Oreochromis niloticus: one gene and its partners. The protein of the gene in region 3 binds, or shares a complex with, the protein of the main gene of each other region. Links are inferred from orthologs where the notes say so. Each region holds a gene or a part of one and is shown on either strand. Other genes may lie near its edges.

Region 1 (8,101 bases), on a different chromosome or scaffold from region 3:
AGGCCAGCAAAGAGTGGTTTACAGGCTTTTTAAAGCGGCATACAACATTGTCACTGAGAAATCCAGAAGCAACTAGCCTTGCCAGGGCAAGTAGCTTCAACAGAGAGAATGTCAATGCTTTCTTTGACAACTTAGAGAAAGTGTTATGCAAATATGAGTTTGGACCAGGAGACATTTGGAATGTTGATGAAACTGGGGTCACCACTGTACATAAACCAGACAAAGTGTTGGCCAGACGTGGATTCAAACAAGTAGGGTCATTGACCTCTGCTCAAAGGGGAACCCTTGTCACACTGGCCTGTGCTGTCTCAGCCATAGGGAATAGTTTACCTCCATACTTTATTTTCCCGCATGTCCACTTCCGTGACCATTTCCTGATCAACGGGCCACCCGGCAGCAAAGGAGGGGCAAATTCCTCTGGATGGATGAAAGACACACACTTTGTTGACTTCCTGCAACATTTCAATGAACATACAAAGTGTTCAAAGGAGAAGCCCTGTTTACTCCTTTTGGACAACCACGAGTCTCATCTGTCCATTGATGGACTCAATTATGCCAAAGAAAATGGCATAATCATGCTGTCATTCCCACCCCACTGCTCACATCGGCTCCAACCATTAGACAGGTCTGTCTACGGGCCACTAAAGAGGCACATCAACAGCACGTGTGATGCCTGGATGAGGAACAACCCTGGGAAGACAATGTCTATTTATGACATTCCTGGGATTGTGGTAATTGCATATCCTCTGGCTGCAACCCCATTGAACATTCAGGCTGGTTTTAGGGTGGCTGGGATTCAACCTTACAACAGAAATGTATTTCTGGAAGCCAAGTTTGCACCATCCTACGTCACAGATCGCCCTATTCCGGACCCTGCCCTGCCAGGCCCCAGCACCAACTCTGACCTGCCAGGCCCCAGCACTACCTCTGCACTGCCAGGCCCCAGCACCAACACTGCACTGCCAGGCCCCAGCACCACCTCTGACCTGCCAGGCCCCAGCACTACCTCTGCACTGCCAGGCCCCAGCACTAACTCTGCACTGCTAGGCCCCAGCACTACCTCTGCACTGCCAGGCCCCAGCACTAACTCTGCACTGCTAGGCCCCAGCACTACCTCTGCACTGCCAGGCCCCAGCACCAACTCTGCACTGCTAGGCCCCAGCACCAACTCTGAACTGCCAAGCTCCAGCACCATCTCTATCACGAGCTCACCCTTACCCAGCACTGCAATTACTGACAGCGGACTACCAACTCCAGAGGACATCCGGCCATATCCAAAAGCTGGCCGCCGAAAACCATCCAGCAAAGGAAGAAAACGACGCAAATCAGCAATTCTAACTGACACGCCAGTGAAGCAGCAACTAGAAAAAGAAAAGAATAAGGCTGAATCTAGCAAAAAGCTGTTTCAAAAGAGAGGGACGCGAGGGGGGAAAACATCTGGACCTATGAAGAACAACGCAGCTAAAAGAAGAAAAATAATTCAAGAGTCATCATCAGATGATGAAGAGTGCTTCTGCCTTGTCTGTGTGGAGCCATTTTCAAACAGTCGTCCAAAAGAGACCTGGGTAAAATGCGTAAAATGCAACAAATGGGCCCATGATGCTTGCACCTCAGGCCAGGCAATTTATGTGTGCCAGAATTGTGACTCTGAAGTTGAGTCTGATTAATCAGAAATAGGGCATCTGTTTTGTTCAGAGGATAAACATGTTAAGTAAAGCAAGTTATTTGCAGCATTCCATTCAGTTATGATGGATTTATGTGCAAGCCAGAGAACATTTGAGTTTAAAGTTCAAACTAAAGTTTTCTTTCTACTTAATGTTTTGATTAAAATGTGTATTGGATTGAAATAATTGTTTTTTTTCCAAATTCTCTTGGCATAATTGTTCAAATTTCCAGTTTTGGTTTGAATTTACTAATTAAAATCAATAATCACAATTAAGTATTTGTGTTCTTATTTTAAGATAATCTAGTGTGACAACTTACCTGCCGATGGGGCAAATTGTCACAAGTGCACATTCTCCATTCAACAGTCTACAACTCCGTAATGAGATAAGATATGAAAATGTAATGAATACATCATATGTGCCCGAGACTTCCTTCTTTCATTTGGTGAAACATTTATTACGTTGTGATGTATGGTGCTCAGTAAAAGTTAGTCAGTGTGAAAAGTGTGACAACTTACCCCGCTCTCCCCTACACTATGTTACTCTGTTTGTGTCGGGGGACCCGATCCTTGGGGTGGACCAGTTTTTGGCGCAGCGTATTTTGGGGTTTAAAAGCCACAGAGACGCGGTGTTTAGAAAAAATGCGTCTCAACTGTTCCGATACTCCTGACACATATGGGATCACTACAGGTTTTCGCCTGGGCAGCGGTTGTCCTTCTCTCCTGGATCGGCTGGAGCTTTCTTTAGGTGTCTTCCCAGCTTTGACAAAAGTCCAGCTGGGATAACCACATTTACTCAGGGCCTTCTTAATGTGCTGTTCTTCTGCCTCCCTGGCCGCTGTGTCAGTGGGGATGGTGTTCGCTCTGTGTTGTAGCATCCTGATGACACCCAGTTTGTGCTCCAGTGGATGATGAGAGTCAAACCTTAGATACTGATCCGTATGCGTAGGTTTACGGTACACGTCAGCTTTTAGATGTCCCCCATTACTGATGGAAATCTCACAGTCTAAGAAGGCTAACCTGCCACTTTTCATATCCTCCCTGGTGAATTTGATGTGTTGGTCCACCGAGTTAATGTGATCCGTGAAATGTAGTACGTCCTGAGATTTGATTTTCACCCAGGTGTCATCCACATATCTGAACCAATGGCTTGGTGGTGTTCCAGGGTAGGATAGCAACGCCCTCTTTTCCACTTCTTCCATGTACAAATTGGCCACGATGGGTGAAACTGGGGAGCCCATGGCACACCCATGTTTCTGCCTGTAGAACTGACCCTTGTATGTGAAGTAGGTGGAATGAAGACACAGTTCCAAAAGCAAACACACTTGGTCGATGCTGAGAGTGGTTCTGTTGCTGAGGTTGGTGTCATCCTGTAATCTCTTACGGACTACCTCCAACGCTTCCGTGACTGGGATGCAAGTGAAGAGAGATGTAACGTCGTACGAGACCATGGTTTCATCTGCCTCCATAATGACATCTCTCACCTTCTCAACAAAATCCAGGGTGTTCTGGATGTGGTGTTCAGAGCTGCCCACCAGCGGGTTGAGGATCGAAGCCAGAAACTTGGAGATGTTATAGGTGACCGAGTTGATCATGCAGATAATTCAGTTAAGAAAGAGTGACCTCCAGTGGACTTTGGGTGGTATTGTAAGCACCACCCAAAGTCAGAGAAACTATTTTCTTTTATCGTAACAAATAAATTCAAATACTTTAGGTGTAAATGTTTTCCTTTAATTGTACAACTAAAAGAAATCTCTTTTTTATTATAAATCTATTTTTAACGAATTTACTTTACATATGCCAAATGAAATTCCCGAAAAAGTAATCATCTTATGAAAGAACAACAAAACAGATCTAAGCATATAGCTTCAGTGCCGCAATTTCAATGAAAACTATACTAAATATAGTTGAATATTTTTTCTTTGTGGACATTAACGATATTGCACAAAACACCTTGAAAAATGCAAGATTAATGTGAGGTTAGTGTTTTGATATACACAACGCAGAAAATGTAAGATAAATGCTTAATTTATCTTCAATTTTGATTTTTTTGTTAAACAAAACAAACATACAACAAATAGATTAAATATAAAGAAAGGTATACAGTTAAGTCGAATAAAATATGATAAAACAAATGTCTTAATGCGGTAAAACGAATCTGAAGTCCAATTACTAACAATAAGTATACATTTAACTTTCAAATAACTACTAAAATATTTGAAAATTTCATACTAAATATATTTTTAAGAAAGAAAACAGAGAAGAAAAAGAAGAAAAACATGACATGATATTAAGGGGATTAGTATAACGTGAAATGTGTAAACAATGCAGTGCAATAAAGTGTCTTAGCGTGTACGCACTAAAAGCAGTTTGAAAGCACAACAAAATGGTTTTAAATTTAAAAATAATTGTACTATAAACACGAGCCTAGAGGTGAAGTCGTTTCTATTTTTGTTGTTTGCACCAAAAATACACCCAATCCCAAGAAAGAGCGTCCATTCTTGCGTGTTCCGGAAACTCCCACAGCTTACTCACTGATTTAGTTTTCCACAATATAATCAAAAAATTAAATCAACACATATAAAAACATTTTCTTTTGTAATCACGGGGCAACGAGTTATTAGTTAAATTAAACTGCTGAATGAAAATATTTATTTTGTAATGACCGTGATTATAAAGTTGTCGTGATGGCGCTGTTACGCAGCTGCGCAGACGGAAAGCCTTCCTTCAGCTTTCAGCCAGCTGTCTGCTCGGTGAAATAAACATGACGATGTTGTCAAGTATCGTGTTCCCAGTGCCACAGGACTAAAAGTTCAGCACTGACTGCAACAGGGGAAGCCGGATATTGTGTTTATTTAAATCTGTGACAAACTGTAAGTGACCATTTAATACAAGTCTAGCGTTTGATGGTTGTTAACGGTGGCTAGCATTAGCTAACCACTAGGCTAAGTGTTAGGTAACATTAGCCAGATAAGTAACTAATGTTATGGGAGTGAACTCCCGTTTGTTCCGTAAAGGTGTTGCTCGTTGATGATGATAAGCCATCTTTACTTGCTTTGACTAATTTAATTATTCCACTTAAAGTTAAACACGGTAGTAATTTTTGCTAAAGGGAAGTTAGCACTGCTTGGCGGCTGAGTGTAGGTTAGCCAAAATGTTTAGTAAACGTAGATGTTTTGGGGGGGACTAACTTTTTAAAAATTAGAAAGATACATTTGCTGTCTGTGTGTCCCAGTTGTTAAAGCTTAAAATTCGTGCGTAGCCGAAATGGCTGCCATCACATGCTGTCTTTGCTCTATTTGCGTAATATTTACTCTTTGTCCCGTAAAGTTGGGCTAACGTCCCTACTGCCTTCACAGGTTGCTGGACTGACACCATTTTAACAAGCTGAGAAGTGGACTCGTAGCTTGCGATTGCAATGCCTCTGCTGTTTTTGGAGAGGTTTCCTTGGCCCAGCCTGCAGACCTACACAGCACTGAGTGTGGCTTTGCTTGCTGGTAGCATCTTCAGTGCCTACACCACAGTAACTGACCCGGGATTTGGGGCCTTGGAAACGGATGAGGCACAGCCTCCCTCCGAGGTGGAGCGTGAACTTCTAAAGAATGATATTAGTAATACAGAACTGGCAACAACTGTCCTGTGGTATCTTGTCACAGACAGTCTCTTTGTGTGGGTGAGTGATTTTAGTGCATTGTGTGACGTGATGGTGATTATGAAGTTCATACAAAAACTAATGGTGACTTTATTATCTGCATACCTACAGGTGTTAGTGAACACATTCTGCTGCTCGTTGATGTTAATTGCTAAAATGATTCAGTACGTGGTGTTTGGCCCACTCAGAGTCAGTGAGAAGCAGGTAAGTCTGTGTTGTTACAGCTGTTTTTACTTCTTTCAAACAAGAAGCAAATGGTCACTCATCTCATTTCCTGTCTCCTTTTTTTTTGGTTCATCAGCACCTGAAAGATAAATTCTGGAACTTCATTTTCTACAAGTTCATCTTCATTTTTGGTGTACTGAACGTCCAGACAGTGGAGGAGGTGGTCATGTGGTGTCTGTGGTTCTCCGCACTCGTTTTTCTCCACCTAATGGTTCAGCTCTGCAAGGATCGCTTTGAATATGTAAGTATTTAAAAAAACAAAACAAACAACAACAAAATCCAATCATCACTTTAGACAAATACGACTAGACTCACGTTGCATTTATTGTCTGTGGTTATTTCTGTTTTATGCCATTTGACTCCTTGAGCCAAGCTGTTTCCAAAAGTTTGTTTGTTTTTTCAATCAAGCTTAACTAAACCTTCTGTAACCTGGTGGGGATTGATTTGGGGCACTTGAGAAGAGACTTAAACCAGTGTAAAAGAAAAGGGTACCCTGGATCGATAAAAATGCAACTTTCATCTTTACATGGGGTGCAGCACAATAATAGTATTGTCTTAATTGTGGTGTTCCTTTTTTCATATTTGTTGGAAGCCAGACTTGAGAACAGCTAGATTTATGAGAATCAAGGGTTGAAGAATTAAGCAAATGTACTTAATTACTGACTTTCTCAGTGGCTTATCTAATCACAGTTAGAGTAAATTACATTAGCTAACAACGTTGTAGTTGTGTAGATTTCATGGGTAAAAGAAATGAGAAATATGTTTAATGGATATAGGATTAAATATAGGATTTAAGATTTTTTTTCCCATTATGTATATGCAGCCTAAAAGCCTCTGAAATACATGTGTCATTTCAGTGGCTTATCGGAGAGTAGTGCATCACCCAGTGTAATCATGGGTGATGTACCTTACTTGCTCTTTACCAGATATCTGCAAAGCTCTTTGAACTCTTGCCTGTTACGAAAGGAATCACATGTTACTTAAGAAATATCAGATACTGTTAGAAACAGTATATCATAGGAAATGGTCAGTGTGGTGTTAGGCAAGCTCATGGATCATGAGCTTAACTGCAAAAGTGTACATTTACAGGAAATTTTTTTGTTTCTGTGCTTTGAAGGAACTCAGTTAAAAAAAGGGGGGGAAATCCTGCTTCTGGAAGGGTTTTTTGGTCTACCCTCATTTTGTTTTTTGTGTGGGTGTTTTTTTTTTTTTTTTTTTAGATTTTTCTATATTGGATATTAATTCTGCGCTTTAACATAGGTACCGGTGCCAGTCTATTATATGTATTACAGGGGTATGCTTTCTGTATTGTGTAATTCAGTATGTATGTAATACGCATGTATGTAATAAATAGAAATCTGCCACAGCAGATCTATGCCACAGCAAAGCTTGGCAAATCTAACTCTGTTCCTACTTAACCGTTTCTGAATATTAAACACTAAGCCAGATTTATCCACCTGAGCAATACTTCAGTACACTTTCTATAAATGCTTATTTAAAAAGTGTGCTTTCCCTCAGTAGACACAGTGTAACTGTACTCTTTTCAGCTTGGGATCTATTAATAGCTTTTTATACTCAGATGTTGACTGTGACTACTGATACAGTTTCAGTTACTATGCTAACATCTCTCTATCAGAGTGTATTCTGTATGGTGGGGAAAACAAAATATCACATTTAAATACCTTCTTATGAGTGCTGACATTTAAAACAAGGTTTAAGTTGTTTTAAATGTCAGTTAGACATTCAAAGTTAGACGTGATGTAATGCTGGCTGCCTTAGTATACTAGAAGGTTATTTCAACCTGCCATATTGTAAACATTTCATTTTGATGTGATTGTGTTCCTCTTGCTGTTTTTGTTTCCGTCTTTCAACTTTAACTGTAAATTTAGGTTGGAGGTAGTCCGTTGTTTGCCCAGCTGTTTCCCCTTTCTGTCTTCCTGTCACTGTGGTTTCTTGCTTTGGGGTGAAGATAAGAAATGCAGGTTGTAGTGCTGAAGGTTTAGCTTGGAAACCTTGTGGTCTTTGTGATACCGAGCAGCTGGTTTTTATATTTTTCACCTTAGTTGTAATCTATAATAATGTGCAAATTTGTTGTTATTTACACTTTGCTAGAAGTTTAGTTGTGCTAGTGCTTAGATATTTAGTGGTTGTGTGAGAGGCGTTTGTATTGATAGAAAAGGGTTGTGTAATCTTTAGAAGAGAGTACATGTAGGGTTTTCTCTCAGTATGTCACAGTAAAAATTGAGTGTGTTACTGAGCCTCTTAAAACTCTTGTCTGTAGCCAGTGGCGAAAAACATGAACTCTCTTTCAACAGCATGTTTCATGAGCATCTAAGTGAAATTTTCCACTGTTTGACAAATAATTGTTATACTTCCTTTGTCTACTGATGTCCACTAAATTAATTTATAGCTGGGTCTTTTTGGTAACAAAGTTTCACAAAAAAGTATCACGGTGGGATTTAAAGGCCATCCTGAGGAAATGATCTTTAACCTGCATAAACACTGAAAAGAAATCTTAGGACATGAGAAGAAAGAATTAAGAAGCACAGCATACTCATTCA
Region 2 (7,771 bases), on a different chromosome or scaffold from region 3:
AAAGTGCCAAATGACAACAACAGAAGAAACCCATAAAGCCATATTATTTAAACATATCAGATGTTTAAGCTGAGACATTTAACTATTTCACTTTGAATTTGATGGCACCAATATGTGTCAAGAAAGATGGGACAGAGTAAAAAAAAGAAAGACTGGAAAAGTAATTGGTACTAAAAGAAAACAGTTGGCGATACATTCTGCAAGTTACAAGTAATTGGATTAACTAAGAACAGGTGGGTAACATGACTGGGTACAAAAAGAGCATCTTAGAGAGGCGGAGGTTCACCAATCGGCAAAAAACTACATCTACAACTCGTGGAAAAATTTCAGAATAATGTTCCCCGACATAAAAATGTGAAGACTGTGAATATCTGATGATCTACAGGACAGGATATCAACAGATTTCAAGAATCTGGAGAAATCTCTGAGCACAAAGGACAAGACCAAAAATCAGCATTGGATGCCTGTGATTTTTAGTCCTGAGGCAGCACTGCACTATCATGAAAAAAAGAATGTGAACATGATGAAAACATGTTCAAAAACCTGCAGCTCTGACAATACAGGGGTGTATTAGCACTGATGGAACTGGCAGCTTTCACGTCTGGAAAGGTGCTGAAAGGTATATACAGAGCGACACATGCTCAGAGCGACACATGCTCAGAGCGACACATGCTCCCTCCCAGATGATGTCTATCTCAGGGAAGGCCTTCCGTATTTCAGCAAGATACTAAACCACATACTTCATGTATTGCTTTGTGGTAGAAAAGTCCGGGTGCTGAACTGTCCTGCCTGCAGTCCAGACCTTTCACATAGAGCCCATCATGTAGAGACCCAGAACTGCTGAGCAGCTAAAATCCTCTATCAGACAAGAATGACACAACATTCATCTCTCCAAAGTCCAGCAGCTGCTCGCCTCAGTTCAGTGCATTTATTACCTGCTGTTAAAGGAAGAGGGGAACCTACATAGAAGTGAACATGGCCTGAGTTTTTTGAGATGAATTGCTTCCATCAAATTCAAAATAAGCTCATATTTTCCTTAAAAGAGTCTGATTTTCTCAGTTTGAACATTTGCATTCAGGTGTGAATCCAAACAGGCTTTGATTACGTAAAGTGTTCAGTGTGTTCAGACAGGAATGTGACACAGTGTCCATACGTAGTATGTGGTATGAATGAGATTCAGTCACTCACCCTCCTGACTGCTGTAGACTTTATTGTACTTAGTCATGAACTCTTTAAACTGGCCCAGCAGCTCTACCGACTCCTAATGCAAACACACACACAGAATCAACAACAGAAAGCCTCGATCTCAAATCTAAATTGATTAGAACAGTTTAAAAAAACAAGCAGAGGCAGATAAAACCACAGGCCTGTAGCTGTAGAGCCTGACATAATTTTACCTCCAGAGGCTGGCTGGTGGATGGATCCTCTACCTTGTTGCTCTCTTCTACTTCAGATTCAACTGATAAGAGAAATGAAACACAGGAAGACATGGGAAGTGTGAGAGTATTTAACAGTTAAATCAGTCAGTCAAACTGTCATGCAGGTTGCTGCAATTCACAGTTTTCACAGACAATTTTCAGGCTCATAAATATGACAGAAAGAAACGACAAAAATACAAAAAACAACATAAAATCACTGCCTCCAGTGTTTTCAAATGCAAATATGTAGCGTCAGTATGATTTGTTATTGCTCATGAAAGCCTTCTTATAGGTCTAAATCACAACAACAAAGAAGAGCCTTAGGCAAATGTTTACTGTTGATTTTGTTCTTTGTTACGCATGAAAAAGGGGTTAACATTCGAACATGTCTTTGTTCAACCTTCCACCTCATTTATCTCTTTGTAAAACAAGCGTGTAAAAAAAGATCTCATGGCCTGACCGGCTGTTCAGTGACAATCAGTAGAAATAAATGAATTTTAAAAGGATTTTTCTCTATATGTGCTAGGCCTGCCACAATATCACATATCACATCATGGGTACTGTGGTCAGAAATATCTTGAATAAGTTATTATGATAGAACAGAAATGCTGAACTCTTTTAGTGGTTTTTTTGGGGGGGGGGTAAAAAAAAGGGCTAAAAAATACTTGTTGTTGTGTTTTTGGATGATAAGATAATCAGTGTATTTTTTCACACCACTGTAAGGGAAGACCAAGTGAGCCACAACTATGGTGTTCAGCTATAAATGTCTACCATATGACAGCCATAATGGGTGGTTCTGAATCTTAAATGTTGGATGATCAGTCTGTTTGGCTGCTGACTGACCTTTGGGCTGGCACTTCTGTTTGAGCAAGGTTGACGCCCCCTGCCAAGGGATGTCCCACACCTCAAAGATGCAGACCTCTGTCTGAGACATAAAAAAAATTTAGAGGAAAAGCTATAACAGTTATTATTTGTAGGTTTAGGTCTCTTGTAAAAAGCCCCATTTATAGACTTACTTATAACTTAGATATTTTTAGTTGGGAAGAAAACAGGAACAAAGAAAAAAAAAGAGTCAATACTGTAAATGAATGCAAGCGTGAATGAGGCATAAGTGAGATTAGGATCACTCCAAGTCAAAGTTGAGTCACAAGATCAAAACTAGCAAAACTGCTTTGACGCAATAAAAAATCAATACACAGCTGGATACACACACACACACACACACACACACAGCTTTTTTATTCTTAAATATAAACTCATATTACACATTCTCTCTGCTGCTTAATTTTTATCACAAGAGCTATCTCTCTCTCTCTCTCTCTCTCCCTCTCTCTCTCACACACACACACACACACACCCTACCTTGAGTTGATTTAACTCGGGATAGAAGTCACATGTCCTGAGCATGGTGGACTTCTTACATTGAGTGTTACTCAGCTCCACTGTTAAAGTGTAACGGATCCCTTTAACCAGCTGGAATACAGATGAACACACAAACATTCAGTCATCTTTAATTTAAGGACACAAAATCTTGGGATAAATAAATATTTTTATTTAGACGTGGTATAAAATATAATGCGTGTTATTGTTATATGGATGCTCGTTATGCTCCAAACAGGCCACACTGCATAGACGTTGTTAATTTAAAGTCAAAGACATAACTTCCGGCTGCAGTAAACGCGCATAAAATCTTATCTTGAACGCTTGAGAATAAAAATAGGTAAAATAAATAAATAAATACTGTTTTTTCTAAGTTGAAACCTCTTGAAAATTGTAGATAAATAGGAATACATTTTTGTTTGTCTTTGTTTAGGCATCCCTTGCTGAGCAGCGCAACAAAGACGTTTACGCTATTATTTTGAAGGTACATCACCCCTTTTTCTGGCCTGTGTTTAGCTAAAATGACGACCCTCCAGCAACGCTGTTGTTTACAAAAAACGAGCATACACAACGCTTATTACAATGACATAAATCGATAAATAACAAATTCTTTAACCGTTCTTTGCAAGTACACTAGAAGACCAAAATATGTTGAATAAATATTATAAAATCAGAAGGAAAGCCACCAATAATAATTATACCTGTTTGGTGGCAGAGATGACCCGGCTGACTCTGCGGAGATGCATCGCATTGGAGACCCGGTTGTATCGCTCCTCTGCAAAGGCCAGAGCCTTCTTAAGACCCGGGTCGGAGTCGTGGACCCAGATAGAAGAGCCGGGGGGCCCGAAGAGAGGCCGGTCGAGGTCCTCACCGAGTCCGAGAACCGAGCCCAGCACAACGGCCAGGGACAGCCACCGGATTAGCGGGCAACAGCGCAATATGACCACCATGTTGGCCCCGTGTGTTGTCACCGACTGAAAGGGCCGATGTCTAGTCTGCGCTCACTTAAATAACAGCCGTGTTTGTTTTCTTCACACAAAAATCGATTGTCAGTTAAGCAGCGATTATACAAGAGGCTATTGCCAAACACATCTGACAGGCTGTAGGCGGAGACTGAGCTTTAAAGGAGGGCGTGTTCATGATAATTCCCATATTTATTATTCAGGCAGGACTGTCGCTGATAGGTCTGTAGGGCAGCAGTTGTCTTTCAGTGCTTTCTGAAGCTGTTGTTTGGACATTTGGCTGATATTCGCTCACTTCAGTCCAGTCGTTGTCCCTGACCATTTTCAGATTATACTGTTTTCTGTTTGTTTGTTTGTGTGTTAAGGCACCGGGCACTGACCTATGAATCATTCGAGCATTCAAGAGATGAAACAGGGTGGTGCCTGCACTTCACAGACAACTTAGCAAAGAACCAAACAGCTATTAGTGGAGGTTCTGTCACCGTTTGGTGCTGCATTTCAGCCAGTGGTGTTTCAAGCTCTTTAGAGTTGTACAAACTCTGGTTTTGCCTTATATTCTGTATTTACACATATGTTTGCACATGTTTCAATAAATGGCTACACTTTCCCCCCCCTAAACTGCAGACTATAAACACACTAAAAAGAAAAGAGGGGCGACTAAAGACGTTCAGCTCATTATTGGAATAAATAAATAGATTCATTAAAATAAAATGGTAACATTACATACTAATGTAACACATTAAAATTTATCAGATTTCGCCACTAGAGGTAGACAAAATACTATAATATTTTACTAGCGTTTCCTTTAGGGGACGTCTTTAGTGCTTCTTTATTTTTTTTCTGCTGCTCTTTTATTTTGAAAGTATTGCACCTGACACTCCGATAAAGATGAACACACAGTTATAGATTACATGAAATCATGAAAGTAATTGAAGGGTTGGGTTGGGTACAAAGAATCGCAGTTTATACTCTTCTGTAGAATTTAGAAACGAGTATTATTTATATAAATGTACTTTTGTAGAGATGGCGCTTTTATTCTAGGGGATTCTAGCAACGGACCGGAAGTGGTGTCGTGCCGACTGAAGCCGTTTTCTCGTTAGCTGTGCTAGCGCTGTTTAACCACAAAGCTAACATTTTAAAGTCGTGCACTTAAGCGGTCTGAAAAGGCTGTACTATAATCTAACTAGCGACCCAGTTTCCAGTTTACCCACCGCATGACAGAGGCGCAGTCGTGAAAGTAATGACTAATTTATATTTAGGGGTCAGGTTGTATTTTTAGCATTAGCCTCTGAAGGTCTGACTGGCAGACATGGAGACTCGGGGGATTGAAGACATGTTTGACTTTCGTCGGTAAGTCAGCTAACTGCTAAGTAATGTAAAGTGCTCGGTTAACCTTCACTTAGCGCTAATTAGCGCAATAAGCGTTGAAGAAATACACAGAGGTTATGTCGTTGACGACGTTTATTATCAGGCAGCTAACCAGTATAGTAGAAGATGTATTAAATAATCTGGAAAACATGCAGCTAGCTAGCCGATATTGGCAACGGTATACTAAACAAGTCATGGATAGCGTTTGACATGAAACCTTGTCCAGTGCTAATTTTAATAAGCACGCCGATCAGTTGCAGCATGAAATGCGTGAACTAGCTAATCTTAGATTTCTGTTGGTTTCATGTATTCACTGCTTGCCTTGTGACAACCAAGAGTCAAGTTTTATAAGATACTTAAGTTCTTTGATCTTGACACAAAAGTCAGAGATTATATTTGGGCGCGTGTAAAGTGGAGAAAATAACTGACAGCAAAAGTAGTTGTCGTTGTGTACTTAAATACTTAAGTGTTTTTGACTTGAATAGAGGGCGGACATGAGGCCTGTAGATACAGTGTTAATGACGACTAGAGCGTTTATAATGAGGTTTCGAAATGTTCTCTAGCGCTTGAGTGCAGAGGGAATCGAGTAGTGACACGTGTAATATTGGTAAAAACGCTGAAACAAAAGCAGCGCTAACTCTGCAATTGGTTTTAATAACTTATGGACAGTACTGTGCCTCGAGCCACCTTTCATATCGTCAGACTTGATTGTATTTTTTGTGGTCTTGAGCATCGGTTCTCCAGGATTTCTGAAGGTCTTTCAACGTTATTCTTTAGACACTTGCTGCCTTTTCACTCATTTTCAGTCCAGTCCTTGTAACGGACCACTTAACACTGAATCTATGTTTCATTCAGGCATGAAAACAGTGTTGTGTCTACACATAGCAGACAGCTTGGCAAATAACCAATGTTAAATTACTGTGTTATCAGCAGTCTGTCACAAAAACATAAAGATAAAAGTTTGACAGACGTAATATAATACTTTTGTCACAACAAGGTGATTCCCATAGTGCTATTAGCTGAAAATTTGGCATATTGCAGTATAGTGTGCAGTGTCAAGTTAATTTGATTTTTGGAAACTGGATAAGGGGAGGACAAAAGAATTGGCAGTGCTTTAAAAATTATCAACAGCAGATGAGCCAGTAAAAGTCATGTCCTGACACAGGACCTGAAAGATGCATCTGGCCCTGCAGTTGATCCAAACAACAAAAAGCACCTAATGCAAGGGATGATGTTATCTGTTATCTTTACATAACAGAAAACTTGGTAACAAAAACAAGCAATTTTACATTGTATCTTTAGGCGCTTTTTTTACTTGCAGTCTATAAAAGAAAAATATATAAAATGTTCCCATTTCTTTAGTTGAATCTGTGAAAAATGCCAGAAATAACAGTTTGGCAGACATCGAATAATATGTTTGCTAGAAAAAGGTGATTCTCCTCAAATTTTCATGCCGAGATCTGCTCGTATGAAAATGTGAGGAAACTGGACAAGAGGAGGACAGATGAAGTGGCAGGCTTAAAATAATTATCTACAGCAAGTGTCTGAAAGTCATGTCCTCAAGAAACAGGAAAAAAATCTGCCATAGACCTGACAGGACCTTAGAGATACATCTGCCCCTTTAGTTAATCCAGCTACTGTTCACTGACGACTCACTGGAAATGGTCTCAGTGGAAGGGTCGCTGTCAAGAAGCCCTTCTTAAGGAAGGGAAAAGAGGAGAAAAGGATGAAGTATGAAAATTACACAAGATCAGTGGAGGTCAGTGGCCTGATGGAGTGATGAATCCACGTTTTTGGTTCAACTCCTTTTCAGTATGAACAGGAAAGAATTACAACAGTGAGTGTCTGCAGCCACATGCAAAACACAGTAAAAACATACCTAAATAGAAAAGCACAAATTGGAACACCATCAAGCATGAATTTGACTCCACAGACCCCGGACCTCAACATTATTCTAGAAGTGGTTGATCGTCTTGACAGAGAGAAGAGCTTTGAATGTCTTCCTAGAAGATTGGAGAACAATAGGAAAGCTTGGAATTGTACAAAATCTGTTTTTGCTTTATATATTTGATTTCAGTGTGTGTTTGAACATGTTGCAATAAATACCTGCACCTGTAACCATTTCGTATCAAAACATAAACAAATTATGGATGGCTCTTTTTCACAGTATTGTATCATTGGGTAATATTGCATAGTTGAATAACTATAGAGTGAAATGGTTAAACTCTGATGTGAGTTCATGCTATGGCTCAGTGCACATTTATCCAGTAATAAAAGGAAGAAGATCAGTAGGTTGTGACACATGCTGTCATTCAAATCACAGAATGGTATTTTTGAGGCTGATGGTGAGGTCTATATGTTGGAATTGGGAAATAAAAAAGGGGTAAAAATGTGTTGGTTCATTTGAAATATAATCAGCACAGGATAAAGCAGTCTTGCTACAGATCCCTTGGAAATCACTTAAATTCTCTCAACTATAAATTTACATTTAGATTTGTTTTTCTTTTGTGTTTTCTATTCCAAATGTCATTTTTTTGATTCTGCTCTGTTTTTGTGCAGGTTTCCCAAAGATGCTGTCGTTCTTCTGCTGTTGCTGATTTACTTTCCAGTCGGCATTTCTTTAATGTTCATACGTATTTTTAT
Region 3 (7,478 bases):
ACATGCTGTAGGTATTACAGGTACTGCGCTGCAGTGGTTTGTATCATATCTATCTAATAGACTCCAATTTGTACATGTAAATGGAGAGTCCTCTTCACACACTAAGGTCAATTATGGAGTTCCACAGGGTTCAGTGCTAGGACCAATTCTGTTTACATTATACATGCTTCCCTTAGGCAGCATCATTAGAAGACATAGCATAAATTTTCACTACTATGCAGATGACACCCAGCTCTATCTATCCATGAAGCCAGGTAACACACACCAATTAGTTAAACTGCAGGAATGTCTTAAAGACATAAAGACCTGGATGGCCGCTAACTTTCTGCTTCTTAATTCAGATCAAACTGAGGTTATTGTACTCGGCCCTGAAAATCTTAGAAATATGGTATCTAAGCAGATTCTTACTCTGGATGGCATTACCTTGGCCTCCAGTAATGCTGTGAGGAACCTTGGAGTCATTTTTGACCAGGACATGTCCTTCAGTGTGCACGCACTCCAAGATTGGAGACTGGGGAGGACAGAGGCTTTCAGTTTGAGAAAACAAGACTATGGAACAGTCTGCTGCTACGCCTACATTTAGCTAACTCTATTAAAAAGCAGTGTTTGTTGTTGTTTTTTTTGTTTTATTCTAACCAGGCCTTGTTTTGAGACTTTTGCTGACAGCAGTTGTTTTTGCATTATTCTGTGCCCAAACTTGTTTTGTTGTACAGTGTTTGTCACTACTTGCCTGTGAAAAGCTCTTTAAAATTTAAGTTGACTCACTTACTTTACAGAGTCCAAAGACAAATGGGTGATGTTTTGGCTACAACCATTAATTATATATTTATATATATTATTTAAGGTTTTCTGTTTTACCTCTAAACAGATTTAAACCTAGAACCTAAAGACTATGCTTACAGAGATGACGGTTTTTCTGTTTGACAATTTACTGTAAAATGTTTATTTTTTTAGGTTAAGATGTTTTTTCCACTGAAAATTCACAGTCATCCCTAACATGATTCCAGATTCAACCCTTGGAGAGAAACATGCTTACAGCCTCAGTGAAGGAAAAATATCAAACATTCGATGCTGAGGAGGATGATAGAGACGATGAAGATAAGGCAGAGTTAATGAGCTCCACTGAGGCGAGAGGATCATAAATACAGCTCAAACCTGTCACAGCCCACATGATCCAGGTGTGGGAGCATGTGTGTCTCTTTCTATGTCTGAAGTTTGATGATGTACTTTTTTGTGTTTAACTTTTTATCATTCAAATGTTATTGATTTAATATTGTTTTAACTATAATGACTTTAATGTTGTTTTGAAAATCAAGGATAAAGAGTTAGTGTGATATAGCTGATAATTATATTCGTTCATTCTTGTTCATTAGTGTTTTGAACATTGATGTTTTACACTGAAAAAAGTTCTTTATAAAATCCATCATATCAGTGTGACTATTTAAACAATAATGATGTAAACATTTATTCTTTAAATTTCATAATTTATAATTTTGACGCTTAACTCCAAAATTATTATTTAAATGATTATGTAAACACAGATTATATAATCATATGTGAAGTTAAATGTAGATATTTTGTTGTTAATCATCTAAATGTTGTTTTTAAAGCAAAGATTTAAAAGATAAAACTTAAAATATTGAGTTAAATAGTTCTTTACTCGATCGTCTGCGAGAAGATATATGTTTTGAACACTGATAATCTAAATGCTGATGATTTTATTTTTTGACACTGATGATGATAAATGATAAAATTGTAAAGATATTATGTTAAAAATGATTCAGTTGATTGTTTAAACTGTTTTAATATGTAACATTTTTATATGTTCATAAGTGTTGAAGATGTGAAGAATGATTTTAAACACATATAATATCGATTTAAATGTTAGTTTAAGTCTTTAAATGCTGACATTTATTTTATTGAAATAATAAAAGAGTAAATGTTATTAATTTAAACAATTATACAGTTTGAACATTTAAAGTGTTGATGATTCAAAGGTTGATTTAAAACATTATTCAAGTGGTTATAACCTAAACGTTGATGCCTTAAATGATCATTTAATGATGTCATGATAAATTGCAAATTGATGATCTGATATTGAAACAATATTTTTTCTGCTTCTGTTTTCGATTTGATGGTTTAAACTTGTGTGCAGCTGTTCCAGAGCTTTCTGTCAGCTGACACCCTCAGATTGTTGTGTCTCCCCCGATGATGTCAGCAGGGGTAAACGTGACCTCACTGCCCATCCTGGTGACATCAGTGACCCTGGACGGCCTGGCGCAGCTGTCCAATCAGCGGCTCTTCTTCTTCTTCTTCTTCCTGTGCGCCTACCTGTTCATGCTGTGCAGCGACAGCCTGGTGGTCTACGTGATCTGCTCCCAGCGGAGCCTCCACCGCCCCATGTTTGTGTTTGTGGCGGCTGTGCTGATGAACTCTGTGGCGGGCAGCACGGTGTTTTACCCCAAACTCCTGGTGGACCTGCTGAGGGGGGGCCGCTCAGTGCAGGTGACCCTGCGTGGGTGCATGTGTGAGGCCTGGCTTTTATATTCATCGGGCACCTCCAGCTTCCTACTGCTAGCAGCCATGTCCTTTGACCGGTACGTGTCCATCTGCCGCCCGCTGCTCTACACCGTTGTCATGTCTCCAGCCACAGTGCTGGCACTGCTGCTGCTCTGCTGGCTGCTGCCTGTCGGGCTGGTCGGCACTGCGGTGCTGCTGGCGAGCCGCCTGCCGCTCTGCCGCTCGCAGCTCAGCAGGATCTACTGCGACATCTACAGCCTGGTCAGTCTGAGCTGTGGTGGTCGTGAGACACTGCTGAGCGAAGTCTACAACCTCTCGGTCATCGTGGCTACTGTCTTGCTGCCCGCCATCTTTGTGCTCTTCTCTTACAGCGCCGTCTTGTCAATCTGCCTGCGGCGCTCGCGCAGCTTCAGCAGCAAAGCACTGAGCACGTGCCTGCCGCACCTGCTCGTCTTCTGTAACTACAGCGTGAGCTCTGGGGTGGAGGTGCTGCAGCGCCGCCTACAGGCTGGCAGTCAGCCCACAGCCTCTGTCCTCACCTCCATCCTCCAGGTCATGATCCCGACTGTGTTCAACCCGGTGGTGTATGGCCTAAAGGTGACGGAGATCAGGGCTCAGCTGAGGAGGCTGCTGGGCTGCCAGAGAGCTGAATAACCCACAGAACCAGATCCTGAGTTCTGGTCTCTGACTCCACTCCCATAATCAGAAAAAAGGTCATAAATATTTGTTTTGTAATCAACATTCATTTTCATTTTATGCTCTTTAGTTCATCCACATCTTGTTGGGGGAGGCAGCAGAGGGCCTTGAACTAGACTTCCTGATAAAGAGGAACATACTGCAGCACGTTCTGATGTGGCAGCTGTATGCAGCTGCAGCATTTGCACACAGCAACAACAACAACAGATAAAAGTCCCCTCAGCAAATAATATGGGCAAAATCCAGCAGTTCAATATTCAGGCCACAGAAACTTCTCACTATATAAAGTAACAAAGTTGAGTTCTGACTGCTGTTTGAATATTTTAAAAACAGTCTGGATTCTTCTTGTTTGGTTGTATTAATCAGTCTTATCAATTCTTATTGATCAATTATTCAGTGGAAACTGCACTCTTAGGTCAAAGGTCACACAGACCAATGAGTCATTACAAGTAAAAAGAGAAAAACAGGAAATCATCACTTTTCACATGTGGTACTATTTCCTGTCAGTCATTCGCTGTCAGACACTTCTTCACTGACTATGTGTTAATAGACCTCTCTGCACTAAATCACACTTGTTATTAATCTCTGGCTCTCTTCCACAGCATGTCTTTATCCTGTCTTCCTTTTCTCACCCCAACCAGTGGGTCCAGATGGCCCCGCCCCTCCCTGAGCCTGGTTCTGCCGGAGGTTTCTTCCTGTTAAAAGGGAGTTTTTCCTTCCCACTGTTGCCAAATTGCTTGCTCATAGGGGGTCATATGATTGTTGGGTTTTTCTCTGTATGTATTACTGTAGGGTCCATCTTACAATATAAAGCACCCTGAGGTGACTGTTGATGTGATTTGGCATTGTATAAATAAAGTTGACTTGAATTGAATTTATTTATTTATTTTATTATTTATGTATTTGAGTATTCAACAACAACAACAAAACACATCTGCTGTGGCACAGAAAAGCTAACTGTACAGAAAAGCAATCAGTTAGACCGTAACTTATTATTACATGCATACATCTTGATGCTCAGTCATCCAGGTAAGGAAATCAATTACATACATAAATTAAATTAAATAAAGACAAAATTGAATAAAAAGACTATATAACATTTATTAAAGGCACAAAAACATTTACTTGAGTAAAATTAAGTTTACAATTAAACAAATGAGCTTAATTATTAAACAATTAATTATTTTTTTATTTGTTTTTAAATTAATTGTTTTTATTTTTGTCGACAGGGTGCGCTGTCTGCTGACACGCAAACTGAAACACGTTTTGCGCATGCTCAGTCGGATCAGCTGTTGGTCCGTTGCTTTGTGAGAACGTGAGAAACTGAGCCGCTTTTGTTTATTTGTTTGTTTGTTGTTTTCTCCGGTAAACACGATGGCTGGCACAGCGCTAAAGAGACTAATGGCCGAGTACAAACGTGAGTAACGCGAGCCGCTTTCAGCCAATGGGAGGTCTTTTAATGTTAGCTAGCATGCTAAGCTAACAACCCGCGAGCGCCTGTATCTCTGTACGAAACTCCGTTAAAAGTTCGGTCGGTTTGAGCTTTTCTTTGTTGTCCGCGTTTGTTCTTCTCTCCTGCGACTCAAACCGATAACCTGATGAATGTCTGCACAGTGTGAATAATCCGGTGTCGGCTTTGTCCACCTGCAGTTTAAACCGCGGTATAATTTGGAGCTTATATAACGTGTGTGTGGCGTTATCCAGAATGTTCCATGTAGCTGCCGTGATGTAACTTTCAAAACTTTTCTAAAGTGTGATAAATGAACACAAAGTGCGAACATCATGTTTATATGCTGATTACAGGAACACAGAGCGCAGGTGGAAAACTCGCTGCGAGGCTTCAGCGCTGCACTGACACGGCGGCTGATTTGCCTTTTCTGAAAGTGATAAATTTGAAGGTTTTTAAATGTAATTTGGTGCATTGAGGGCTAACGATAAGAACTTTAACTGGGGGATTAGCCTCGGTACACATTCATATTTAGGCCTGTCATTTATTTAATGCGCTCATTTCAGGCTGCTACACTTTAATCTTGTGTAATAATGTGAATTCTGCACAGATTAGTCGATGCATTCAAGATTCAAGAACTTCATTGTCATGTACACCGCAAAACACAAATGGTTACGCAGAGCAATGAAATTTTTACTTTGTACGTTCCCTTCACACGACTAAAAGAAAGTAAAACAGACAAACAGTGCTTTGTAAATCTTGTAGCTTATGTGGGTGTAAACAGAATTTAAAGTGCAAGTAGTTGCAACACTGTCACAGTGATAATATATACAGAGTATATATTATGGTGTATATGTAGAGCTATGTATAACAATTGCAACTTTACAGGTTAGGGGTAATTACAGTTGTATTATGTTGTGTATAAGTGTGCAAACTTGATGATTTACAGTTATGGATAAACAGTTCGACATAGATCATTGTGGTAAACCTGATTGGTATTTAAGATAATTGGGAAGTCTTTTATAACTGCTTTCTTGCCTTAGGCTGTTTTTAAATGAATAAATGTTAATCGTTTCTTCAATATGGGAAAGCAAACAATCCATCAGCTGTTTAAAAATGTGACTGATACCGGATCACAGCAGAGGTCAAAGGTCACTCATCTTTCTGTGTTTGTGCTTCAGAGCTGACTTTGAACCCACCTGAGGGCATCGTGGCAGGTGAGACACCAGAACACATCTGTAGCTTCTGCAGATGTGCCCTCAGATGTTCAGTGTGTTGTTCTAACAGTCAGACACCCGAGCAGCTCTGAGAGCAGGAGATTTAAAGAGTTTGTGTTTGCTGTGCAGGTCCAGTGAACGAGGAGAACTTCTTCGAGTGGGAGGCTCTTATCATGTGAGTACCCCGTCTCCATGGAAACACACGTTTGAGTCATTTTTGGGTGTTTGTATTTGTTTTGGAGTGTTATTGTGTATGTGTCAGTTGTAACTGGACTCTCACAGCCGCTTTATTGGGTACAGTTTACTAGTACTGGGTTAGAGTAATGGTACATGGTAAATGGCCTGTATTTGTATAGCGCTTTACTTAGTCCCTAAGGACCCCAAAGCGCTTTACACATTTAGTCATCCACACATTCACACACTGGTGGAGGCAAGCTACATTGTAGCCACAGCCGCCCTGGGGCGCACTGACAGAGGCGAGGCTGCGGTCATTTCCCACACTGCTGGCATCGTCATCACACAGCTGCTTCTGTTTATACTCGCTGCTACAGCCCAGGAAGCCGCTGCAGTGTTCTCCTGAACAATTGGTGTTGCCACTCGGACGATTCCTCCACATCATCGCTGATATAAGACCTGCAGCAGTGGCAGCTAGTGACAGTGGAAATGACGTTAGCTCTGTTGTAAGGTGCTGTTTGCAAGGCAGCGCGTAGCAGGTATAAAATGTCCTTTAGCTGGTGGGAGTGGCACCAGTGTGGTCTTCTGCTGCTGTAGATCATCTGTTCTAAGGCTCAGGGGTGCTCTTCTGCATACCTCGGTTGTTATGAGTGGTTATTTGAGTTCCTGTTGCTTTTACTATCAGCTTGAAGCAGTCTGTCCTCACACCTCAACCAGGCATTTCCCCCGAGAGGACTGCTGCTCACTGGATGTTTTCTGTCCTTCAGACCTTCTCTGTAAACTCTGATGTTTCATATCAGCAGTTTGTGAAACACCCAGACCAACACTCACGTTCACAGTCACCTGAAGCACTTCTGTGAGCACCAGCATTTGTCTAATTTGGCTGTTGCACAAACGAGTTGCTTTCACTTCTATGCTGGGTGCTTAAAGGTCAGGCTCAGTCATGAAAGCAGCGACGGATCTCCGTAGATCCACTAATCACACTAATTGCATTTAAAAAGTGAACGATGCTGCACCCTCATGGCTTTAACCTCCCGTCTGCTGGGATCAGTTGTCTGATCCTTTTATTAGCAGCTGTTAGTGTTTGTAACAGGCTCACCTCTCTGTATTTGTTTCGTTAACCTGTTTCACACTTTATGCCAAACTCAGAAAGTAAAAACCTGCAGTTTGAGTCATGAATTCACCCTCATACCTGTAAACCATGGCAACTAGACTCACAGGTTCAGTGTGACGATGACCGAGTGAGACCAGAAGGTGTCGCTGTTCTCAAAGTGTTGGAGATGAAACACAGCTATCAGTACACTCCCCAGTAACACAAAGTTAAGACAAGTCAGTGGATTTATGGCTGAAAGAAAACAGAGCAGGAAACAAGACAACACAAAAGTGTTCAAATTTAAACGCTGGGGAGTAAAAATGTGTCTTCA

What was found.
Region 1: the proteins of ube2g2 (region 3) and E3 ubiquitin-protein ligase AMFR are in contact, whole or in part, in an NMR structure (PDB 2LXP), measured with the Homo sapiens proteins. The link is inferred for Oreochromis niloticus from reciprocal best matches to the Homo sapiens genes UBE2G2 and AMFR. Residues at the interface, in NP_003334.2 of Homo sapiens: Tyr13, Leu16, Thr17, Pro20, Gly23, Ile24, Val25, Ala26, Gly27, Pro28, Met29, Asn30, Glu31, Glu38, Leu40, Met42, Glu45, Glu50, Phe51, Val53, Val159, Gln160, Leu163, Gly164, Leu165; in NP_001135.3 of Homo sapiens: Ser574, Ala575, Arg578, Gln579, Met581, Leu582, Arg585, Lys586, Leu589, Leu590, Ala593, Arg594, Arg596, Phe597, Leu598, Lys600.
Region 2: the proteins of ube2g2 (region 3) and aup1 are in contact, whole or in part, in a crystal structure (PDB 7LEW), measured with the Homo sapiens proteins. The link is inferred for Oreochromis niloticus from reciprocal best matches to the Homo sapiens genes UBE2G2 and AUP1. Residues at the interface, in NP_003334.2 of Homo sapiens: Tyr13, Thr17, Pro20, Gly23, Ile24, Val25, Ala26, Gly27, Pro28, Met29, Asn30, Glu31, Glu38, Leu40, Met42, Glu45, Glu50, Phe51, Val53, Pro55, Lys156, Val159, Gln160, Ser162, Leu163, Leu165; in NP_853553.1 of Homo sapiens: Ser379, Arg382, Gln383, Leu386, Arg389, Lys390, Leu393, Tyr394, Tyr396, Ala397, Arg398, Arg400, Phe401, Thr402.

The regions. Positions count from the first base shown.
Region 1 is NC_031965.2:27,579,416-27,587,516, reverse strand, and holds the start of E3 ubiquitin-protein ligase AMFR, read left to right. Parts: upstream 1-5,050; 5' UTR 5,051-5,081; coding exon 5,082-5,336; intron 5,337-5,426; coding exon 5,427-5,519; intron 5,520-5,616; coding exon 5,617-5,781; intron 5,782-8,101. Other genes in the region: endochitinase A1, read left to right, coding at 426-1,667; si:dkey-148a17.6 (leukotriene B4 receptor 1), read right to left, coding at 4,978-5,041. UniProt on the Homo sapiens protein: E3 ubiquitin-protein ligase that mediates the polyubiquitination of lysine and cysteine residues on target proteins, such as CD3D, CYP3A4, CFTR, INSIG1, SOAT2/ACAT2 and APOB for proteasomal degradation.
Region 2 is NC_031966.2:32,624,910-32,632,680, forward strand, and holds the start of aup1 (lipid droplet-regulating VLDL assembly factor AUP1), read left to right. Parts: upstream 1-4,769; 5' UTR 4,770-5,069; coding exon 5,070-5,110; intron 5,111-7,687; coding exon 7,688-7,771. Other genes in the region: ctsf (cathepsin F), read right to left, coding at 1,189-1,261, 1,398-1,459, 2,262-2,343, 2,781-2,891, 3,500-3,748. UniProt on the Homo sapiens protein: Plays a role in the translocation of terminally misfolded proteins from the endoplasmic reticulum lumen to the cytoplasm and their degradation by the proteasome. Plays a role in lipid droplet formation. Induces lipid droplet clustering.
Region 3 is NC_031987.2:899,217-906,694, forward strand, and holds the start of ube2g2 (ubiquitin-conjugating enzyme E2 G2), read left to right. Parts: upstream 1-4,459; 5' UTR 4,460-4,590; coding exon 4,591-4,633; intron 4,634-4,858; exon of another isoform or gene 4,859-4,877; intron 4,878-5,844; coding exon 5,845-5,880; intron 5,881-6,009; coding exon 6,010-6,055; intron 6,056-7,478. Other genes in the region: olfactory receptor 10J5-like, read left to right, coding at 2,212-3,174. UniProt on the Homo sapiens protein: Accepts ubiquitin from the E1 complex and catalyzes its covalent attachment to other proteins. In vitro catalyzes 'Lys-48'-linked polyubiquitination. Involved in endoplasmic reticulum-associated degradation (ERAD).